Ovis aries: one gene and its partner. The protein of the gene in region 1 binds, or shares a complex with, the protein of each later gene. Links are inferred from orthologs where the notes say so. Each region holds a gene or a part of one and is shown in the gene's direction. Other genes may lie near its edges.

Region 1 (4,300 bases):
GTGATTGACAAAGTTACATCTAACTTGTGCTTGAGCTGTGTTAGGTGAAAATTAGTGTCCCCTCTGCAAGGAGATCAAGCCAGTCAATTGTAAAGGAAATCAACCCTAAATATTGGAAGAACGGATGCGGAAACTGAAGCTCCAATACTTTTGCCACCTGATGCGAAGAGCCGACTCAGTAGAAAAGACCCTGATGCTGGCAAAGATTGAGAGGGGGACGACAGGACAAGATGGTTGGATGCCATCATTGACACAATGGACATGAGTTTGAGCAACCTCCGAGAGATGGTGAAGGACAGGCAAGCCTGGCATGCTGCAGTTCATGGAGTCGCAAACACTTGGGACATGACTGAGTGGTGGAACAACAATCCCTCCACAAATCTAAATAGGACCTATGGTGCAGGCTCCAGCATCTGATGGTCCTTTCCCTCGAGTCCATCTAGCAGTAACCTCAGAATCGCTGTAGCTCATCTAAGGGCTTGGGTGGGGCTGGGGAGCAGTGTAGAGAATGGGGCTTAGTACCTTAACCACCTTCACTTTTCTCATTTGATGTTCACGTCTTCTTACAAATGTAATATAACTTGTATTAAAATAGTTCAAATGTTTTAAAGGATATGTCAGGAGCACCCATGTCCCCACCACCCAATTTAGGAGCTATCTGTGTACCAAATAAGAAGGACCAGTCCATTTCCCTCCAGAAGTAACACAACCCTAAAATTCTGTGTCTTTCACCTGACTTCGTATGTTTACTACCTTAGTTGTTGCTGTTGTTTAGTCGCTCAGTCCTGTCTGACTCTTGTGACCGACGACCCCGTGGACTGTAGTCCAGGTTCCTCTGACCATGGGATATTCCAGGCAAGAATACTGGAGTGGGTTGTCATTTCCTTCTCCAGGGGATCTTCCCCACCCAGGAATGGAACCTGCGTCTCCTGCTTGTCAGGCGGATTCTTTATCACTGAGCCACCTGGGAAGTCCTTATTATCTTAGTATTTATCCCTAAATGCCGTGTGGTGATTTACATGTGGAAGATTAATCATGGCTCCCGTAGCCTCTAATTCTCGGATTTCCTCTCAATACCCTGAGCCCGCAGCGGTTCGTTTGGCTGAGCCTCCATGAAACTGGCTGACTTTCCAGACCCAGTTTAGGAAACTCAAGCAAGAAAGGGCTGGGAGAAGGGGAGGGAAGGCGGATGAGACCTCTCGGTCGCTCGTGAGGAAGGTGTGTGAAGCTGGCTTTTAGTTTTTAGGACAAATCCAGCAACAATTAGGTCCCTTCCTTATGGCCTCCGCTTGACCCCGGGCAGTGGGTGTCCCGCCCCGTCCTGTGGCGCGGGCGCTGGAACGCCCTCCGGCCTGAGCAGGACGTGACGGCGGGAGACTCCCAGCCCGCAGCCTTTTGTCTCTCTCGGGCTCCCGTCCACCCACCCCGCCCCTGTATTACCATTGGCCGCGGCCCCGGCCCGGGGCGGGGGGAGAGAGTGAGGAGGCGGGGCCGCGTGGCGTCAGCGCAAGATGGCGGCCTCGGCGGCGCTGTTCCTGCGGTTGCGGAGCGGGCTCCGGCAAGGCGCGCGGGGGCTGTGTGCGAGGCTCGCGACGCCGCCCCCTCGGGCCCCGGACCAGGTGAGCCGGATGGGGTTGGTCCCCGGGTGCTGGGGCTCCTTCCTGTGGTTCCGGGCGGGCCGGGGCCGCCCGGAGCTTCTGGAACGCAGCACCTCAAGGTGCTGAATGGAACGCCACGCGCGTTTTGAGTCTCTTCCCCGCTTCCCGGGGTTGGCAGCCCTTGCTTCCCCGGGATAGATGCTTGGGGACTCAAGTGTGTCCTCTGAACCTTACCTCCTCTGGATCCCACCTCTTCTGGACCCCAGCTTCTCGACCCCACGTGGGCGCCGGGGAAGGAGGGGTCACCTGCTCTCCTGTCTCGGTGACGGTTCAGGTAATACTCGAGGGGGAGGGGCCCGGGACACTGGAGTCCCAGCCTGGCCTCGCGGTATTTTCCCCGCCGTGGTGCTGGTGGTGTTGCTAGGTCTTCTGATTCGACCTGCCTCCATCTTGACAGAGACCGTGCCCTTCTGACCTCCGGGTCCATTACTTCTGTGCCCTGCTCCCCAAGTCCTAGCAGGCTATTGCTCCTCCCTTCCGTCCCCCTCCATACGCCACTGTGAGCTCCAGACGGCCGGAGGACTTAACTCCCCGTCCTGTCCTCTTGCGTGGCCTTCAGTGGCTTGCTCCAGAAATCTTAGTCAGTGTTCAGTCAGGGTCCCTGATCGTATCTCCCTTCCCTGCTTCTCCACCCGCGCTCCGGTTCTGTAGGATCCTGGGCCCCGGGCTTGTCATCTCTTGAACCCCTGGGATCATAGCGCCAGTTTAGTTCTTGACTTTTCTGAGAGACCCAGTCCCCTACCTGCCCCTTTAGGCACACAACACCTGGAGGCCATATGGGTGTCCTCTTCCTGGCTCTCAACCTTGATTCTTCTTAGACCAGGGTGCTGGAAACACCCCGACCTTGTTTCTCTTCTTTCTTGGCCAAGCTACCCCCTCTCAATTGCAGGTTGCAGAGATTGGGAGCCGAGCAGGCACTAAGGCCCAGACGCAGGGACCACAGCAGCAGAGAAGCTCTGAGGGTCCCAGCTATGCCAAAAAAGTGGCACTCTGGCTCGCTGGGCTGCTTGGGGCTGGTGGGACCGTGAGCGTCATCTATATCTTCGGTGAGGAACATATCCCTGTCCCCCAGTTATGTTCTCTTGGCCCTCTGTTCTGCTGGGGGGACTGCCCCCTCTTTCCCCTAAGGACTTCACCCATCTTCTTTCCCTGGCTCCTCCCTCAGGGCAGCCAACTGGAACTTGGAAATGAGAGAAATCCCCCTACTACCCCTCTGCTCAAGGTTCTACTCCTTCTAGTTGGTTCCTGTACTAAGCTATAGGGAGTCAGTTTAAAGGGGGGAAGAAGAGGTCTGGACCAGCCCCCTAAGCTACGTTTTCCCTCAGCACCCAAAATTCCAGTCCTCCCTCTAGTCTGTTTATTCCTCAGAGACCCAGGAGACCCTGCCCCAGCCCTCCTTGTCTCAGAGACCCAGATATTCTGGCTACCAGCCCCCTCCTCTTTCTCAGGAGACCATACCTCTAGCCCCCTTCCCTCAGACCCAGGAGGCTAGGCCCTCTGCCCTCTTCCTCCCATAAGTCCCAGGAGACCAGGCCTCAAGTTTCTCATTCATCACTATCTCCCTTGCAGGAAACAATGCTGTGGATGAAAATGGTGCCAAGGTGAGTGGGAGAGAGACACAGAGGCCTTACCAGGGGTCGCATCCTGTGGGTCTCCTCCCATCTGGTCTGTTCAGGCTCCTTTCTGGTCTGGAGTGAACCCTCCCTCCCAGGGACCTTTGCCTGCTCCTCCCAGGGCCCCGGAGATTCCTTGCCTGGGTTTTGCCTCTGCCGTCCCAAACCCTTCTTTTTTCTCTCTACCTCCCAGATTCCCGATGAATTCGACAACGGTGAGTATACAATCGTAGATTCTGGGGTCCCCTGACCCTCTCTACTGTGCCCTCCCCATTTGGTTCCCCCCGCCCACTTCCACTGGGAGGTGGGGGAGTCAGCAGCTGTATGGCTTGGGGGAAGAGGGGCATACAGAACTCCAGTCCCCTTCCCTGGCCCCTCAGCCCAGGAGCAGATGGTCAGGGGCAGTGGGGGAGGGGACTCCTGGGTAGGTGGGACTGCCTGGGGGAGAACTGGGCTTTCTCTGCCAGACACATGGCTTCCTGTGCCTTAGATCTGAGCATCTGCAGCCCCTCACCCCCTTGTTTATGACAGCCTCTCTTTCCCACCAGGCCATAGCCCATCCAGCTCATTTCCAAAACAATGCCTCCTTCCTCCCTCCCCGCCTTCTGATTAGCCAGCTTTTAGGGAGTTTCTGACAAATTGGATAGTAGAGGGAAGCTGCCAATTCTATCACACCTGGTCCTTCCCAAGAGAAATATAAAACTGGTAGGTCCAGAAAGCCACTTGTTTGTGCTGGAGATGTTTGCAAGCCGGCATGTTATTACGTTGGTGTTGGCTCAGAGGGTAAAGCATCTGCCTTCAGTGCGGGAGACCCGGATTCAGTCCCTGCGTTGGGAAGATCCCCTGGAGAAGGAAATGGCAACCCACTCCAGTACTCTAGCCTGGAAAATTCCATGGACAGAGGAGCCTGGTAGGGTATAGTCCATGGGGTCACGAAGAGTCGGACACGACTGAACGACTTCACTTTCACTTTAAACTTGGCAGGTAGCTAAGTATGTGTTAACTGGGCAGATGTAGAGTCATACTGTT
Region 2 (4,251 bases), on another chromosome or scaffold:
GGGCTCAAATCTGAAATGTGTGCCCTTGAGTGAGTTATTTACCCTTTCTGAGCTGCAGGAAATGGAAGACAAGAATCCTAGAAGTACCTGGAGAAAGAAGAACGCTCACTGCAAGCGCCATGGAGTTACTGAAGACGCCAATACGATGGCGCGCACAAGGCAAGGGGCGCTGCGAGCACTTGGCCTGTCCGCGCCGTTTACGGCCTCCCCAGCTTCCTCCCCAGCTTCCTCCCCGTCAGGGAGGCCGGAGGTTCCTCTGGCGAAGCAGACTCTGCCTCTGAAGCCAGCCCCTGGCCTGGCCCACACTCCTGGGAGGAGCGGAGAGCCCCAAGAGAGAGGGCAGAGGGCACACATCTTCCTGAAAAGAGGGTGGGGGAGGGGGGAGAGGGCAGAAAAGAGCCCACCTCCCCACCCCCACCCCTGCCCAGCCTAAACCCCCATCAGGCCCCAGTCATAGACCAGAGCCCCAGACCCAGAGCCGGAGGTGGTGCCAGCTTCACTCATCCATCAGGCCAGGTGGGGCTGGGGGCGGCGACCTTCTGCTGGGTGGAGCTGTTGAGGCACCCAAGCCTCTGGCTCACTGGAGCTCAACCCACTGGGGAGTAGGACCCTCTAAGGGGATGTCGGTTCTGAAAACGTGCATCCCTCTGCAGGTGTGAGTGTGGAGAAGGCTTCTCCCTTGCATCCTCCACACAAGATGCCATCAGTCTGTGAGCTCACTGTACATCGCTATTACCCTGGAGGGCAGACAGTCTGCTCAAGTGAGGGGAGAGAGAGCTGTACCTTTAGTGTCCTGGAGCTTGAAGACCCCTGCTCCAGGGGCAGTCCTGCCTCAGCCTTGTCAGGAGACCTGCTTATAGCAACGGTTTCCAAGGGGAGACCTTCTCATGCTCCGGTGTGTAGAAACCCCCACGGGTCACAGCGTCCCAGATTATCAAAAACATTTAAGGGACACCCACTACTTCCCAGCGCTGAGAGTCAAAGGACCTGGGCACTGCCTGCCCTCAGGAGCTCCGGGAAGTCGGTGGGGCCTCACCCACCCAGACGAAGTAGGTAGCATTCATGCACACTTGACAGCCAGGTGCTAGAACAAAGAAACGGGTCCAGGAGTTAGGGGAGCTCCAGCGGAGCAACCCGGGCGGGTGACTTCAGTGATGGGTACCTCTCCGCACCTGGAGCCCCGCCCCGCCCCCGGCACCCTACGCCCCGCCCCCGGCACCCTACGCCCCGCCCCGCCCTCTGCGCCGGAGCCCCGCCCACTCCCAGAGCCCTGCCTTCCGCCAGGAGCCCCGCCCCCAGCCCCGCCCCGCCCTCTGAGCCGGGGTCCCGCCCTCGCCCCGCAGCTCAGTCCCCGGCTCCGATTGGCTGCAGCGGGAGGCGGCCAGCCAATCCTCGCAGAGTCTAACGCTCTCCTCCTGGGATCACTTCCGCCGCCGGGCCGGCCCCGCTCTGTTCGCCCGGCATCGCGGAGCCGCGGAGGCAAGATGGAGGAGTACGCGCGCGAGCCCTGGTGAGCCTGCCTGCCGCCTGCCCCGCTGCCGCCTTCGGCCCCGGATCCCCGGGCCCCCGCGCTCCCGGTTCGAGGCCGCTCTCAGCTGCGGGCTGGGCGGCGCCAGGGGCCGGGGGCACCCGGACGTGAGCGGCCGGCTGGGGCCGCCGGAGCTGTTCCCGGTGACCTTGCGGCGGCTCGAGGGCGCCCCGGCTCGTCTGTGTCGCCGCGACCCCTGCCCGGCGGCGTGTGGGGAGCATCCCCGCTGCCCGCTGGCGATCCTGGGCTCGTCCTTGCGTCCGCGCGGCTCGCCCTGCGAGGGGAGGCGGCCGTGTCCTGGGAGGGTCCGCGTGGCGCGGCGGCTGCGGTCCGGGCGGTGGGGAGCGGGCGGTGGAGGGGGCCCCGCGTGGTGGGGACGGGACGGCGCGCCCAGGAGAACGGGGAGAGTGGAGTGTGCTCGCCAAGGCGCCGACAGCGGTCCGTTCGTTCGTCTGTCCCAGGAGTGAAAGCGTGGAGGAGTTCAAGCCTTCTGGGGTCAAGAATGACAAATCAGATCTTGTTATTTGAGTTCTTGTGCAAGAGTGCAGGGGCAGGAACCAGGGTGTTCTCCAGCTGTGTGAAAGGGCCCAGGGCTTTGACACTGCCCGAGCTAGCCAGGCTGCTGCTTCCTGCTGTTGTCCTCTCTGAAATGAGACAGAGCGTGTGTTTCAGCGCCTCCCAGCTCTTTAAATTTATCTTCTCCAAAGACAGTGGCCCCCCTTCGTGGGTGGTGCTCAGGTGTGCAGGGCTCAGCGCGGCGCCGCCGTTGTCACTTGCTCCTCCGTATGTGACACGGGGCGGTAGGAGGGGGAAATATGTGACTGTGTTGGGTTAAAGATTTTAGAATATTAAATTTCCATTCTCTATTCAGTTTGTTCAGTCTCTAGGTTGTGTCTGACTCTTTGCGACCCCATGGACGGCCGCACACCAGGCTTCCCTGACCTTCACTAGCTCCTGGAGTTTGCTCAAACTCATGTCCATTGAGTCGATGATGCTGCCCAACCATCTCATCCTCTTTTGCCCCCTTCTCCTCTTGCCCTCAGTCTTCCAGCGTCACGGTCTTTTCCAGTGAGTCAGCTCTTCACACCAGGTGGCCAGAGCTTCAGCTTCAGCCCTTCCAGTGGATATTCAGGGTTGATTTCTTTTAGGATCCATTGGTTTGATGATCTTGCAGTCCATGGGACTCTCAAGAGTCTTCCCCAGCACCACAATTTGGAAGCATCAATTCTTCGGCACTCAGCCTTCTTTATGGTTCAGCTCTCACATCGGTACATGAATACTGGAAAAACCATTGCCTTGACTATACGAACCTTTGTTGGCAAAGTGATGTCTCTGCTTTTTAATACACTGTCTAGGTTTGTCACAGCTTTCCTGAAAGGGGGCAAGTATCTTTTAATTTCATGGCTCCAGCCATCATTCGCAGTGGTTTTGGAGCCCAAGAGAAGAAAGCCTGTTACTGTCTCCACTTTTCCATCTGTTTGATGGGACCCGACGCCATGCTCTTGTTAGTTTTTTGAACGTTGAGTTTTAAGCCAGCCTTTTCACTCTCTCACCTTCATCAGGAGGCTCTTTAGTTCCGTCCTGAGTATGTCATAGCTTCATCTTCATCTCACTCTTTGATCACGTGTTCTCAGAAGCCCTTGGTCTGTGGTAGAAAGAACTTGGGGGGTTTGTATTTGAATTGGTTCTATCAATACCTGTGTGATCTTGCTCAAAGCGCTTCATCTCTTAGCCTCTGTTCATCTGTGAAATGGAGAGGAAACAGGAATATTCTTTTGCAAAGTTAAAAGACTAGGCACTCTATAAGGGCCTCCCTGGTAACTCAGATGGTAAAGAGTCTGCCTGCAATGCAGGAGACCCGGGTTCAATCCCTGGGTCGGGAAGATCCCCTGGAGTAAGAAATGGCACCCCACTCCAGTATTCTTGCCTGGAAAATCCCATGGACAGAGAAGCCTGGTGGGTTGCAGCCCATGGCATTGCAAGAAGTCGGACATGACTGAGCAGCTAACACTTCACTTCATAAGGAAATAGGCTGGCTTTCCAGAAGGTAAGGCTGTTTGCGTCATAAACCGCCTAAACCGTGTACTGTGCAGCCGCTCAGTCTTAGCTGACTCTCTGCGTCCCCATCCCCTTGGACTGTAGCCGCCAGGCTCCTCTGTCCATGGAGCTCTCCAGGTGAGAACACTGGAGTGGGCTGCCAGTAGATCTTCAGGGGATCTTCCCGACTCGGAGACTGAACCTATGTCTCCTGCACTGGAAGGAGGATTCTTTACCACTGAGCCACCGGGAAGCCCACCGTATTGGGTATTTAAAAATGGTAACTTTTGATCATGTGATTCATTATTGGTTCCCTGTTGCCCTGTGTTTGCCTGGCATTTATGTTTAGAGTCTGGGCTCAACTTAGCTTTGTGAGGGACACTGATTTCCGCAGACGCGGTTCGGAAGCTGTTTCCGTCTTGCATTTTTTTTATTATTATCTTTTTTTTTTTCATTTGTTTTAGACATCATCTTGTGGAATACTGTGGCTGCTCTCTGATCTGAATCCTGCTGTTTTTTACTGATTTTTAAAATGCTCATTTCCGTTCTGATCGTAGGATCATTAACCTTTTACAGCTAGTGACTCTCCTTTGTCTTTTTTTTCTTTTTTTCTTGGCTGCACCAAGTAGCTTATGGGATCTTACTTCCCCAGCCAGGAATCAAACTCGGCCTCAGCAGTGAAAGCA

Evidence for each region. Proteins that work in one complex are often made in the same cells at the same time.
Region 2: TIMM50 (region 1) and TIMM17A share a complex: the UniProt entries of both Homo sapiens proteins name them as parts of the TIM23 complex. The link is inferred for Ovis aries from reciprocal best matches to the Homo sapiens genes TIMM50 and TIMM17A.

The regions. Positions count from the first base shown.
Region 1 is NC_056067.1:48,516,280-48,520,579, forward strand, and holds the start of TIMM50 (mitochondrial import inner membrane translocase subunit TIM50), read left to right. Parts: upstream 1-1,500; 5' UTR 1,501-1,511; coding exon 1,512-1,619; intron 1,620-2,547; coding exon 2,548-2,704; intron 2,705-3,227; coding exon 3,228-3,259; intron 3,260-3,464; coding exon 3,465-3,486; intron 3,487-4,300. UniProt on the Homo sapiens protein: Essential component of the TIM23 complex, a complex that mediates the translocation of transit peptide-containing proteins across the mitochondrial inner membrane. Has some phosphatase activity in vitro; however such activity may not be relevant in vivo.
Region 2 is NC_056065.1:79,927,939-79,932,189, reverse strand, and holds the start of TIMM17A (mitochondrial import inner membrane translocase subunit Tim17-A), read left to right. Parts: upstream 1-1,451; 5' UTR 1,452-1,484; coding exon 1,485-1,510; intron 1,511-4,251. UniProt on the Homo sapiens protein: Essential component of the TIM23 complex, a complex that mediates the translocation of transit peptide-containing proteins across the mitochondrial inner membrane.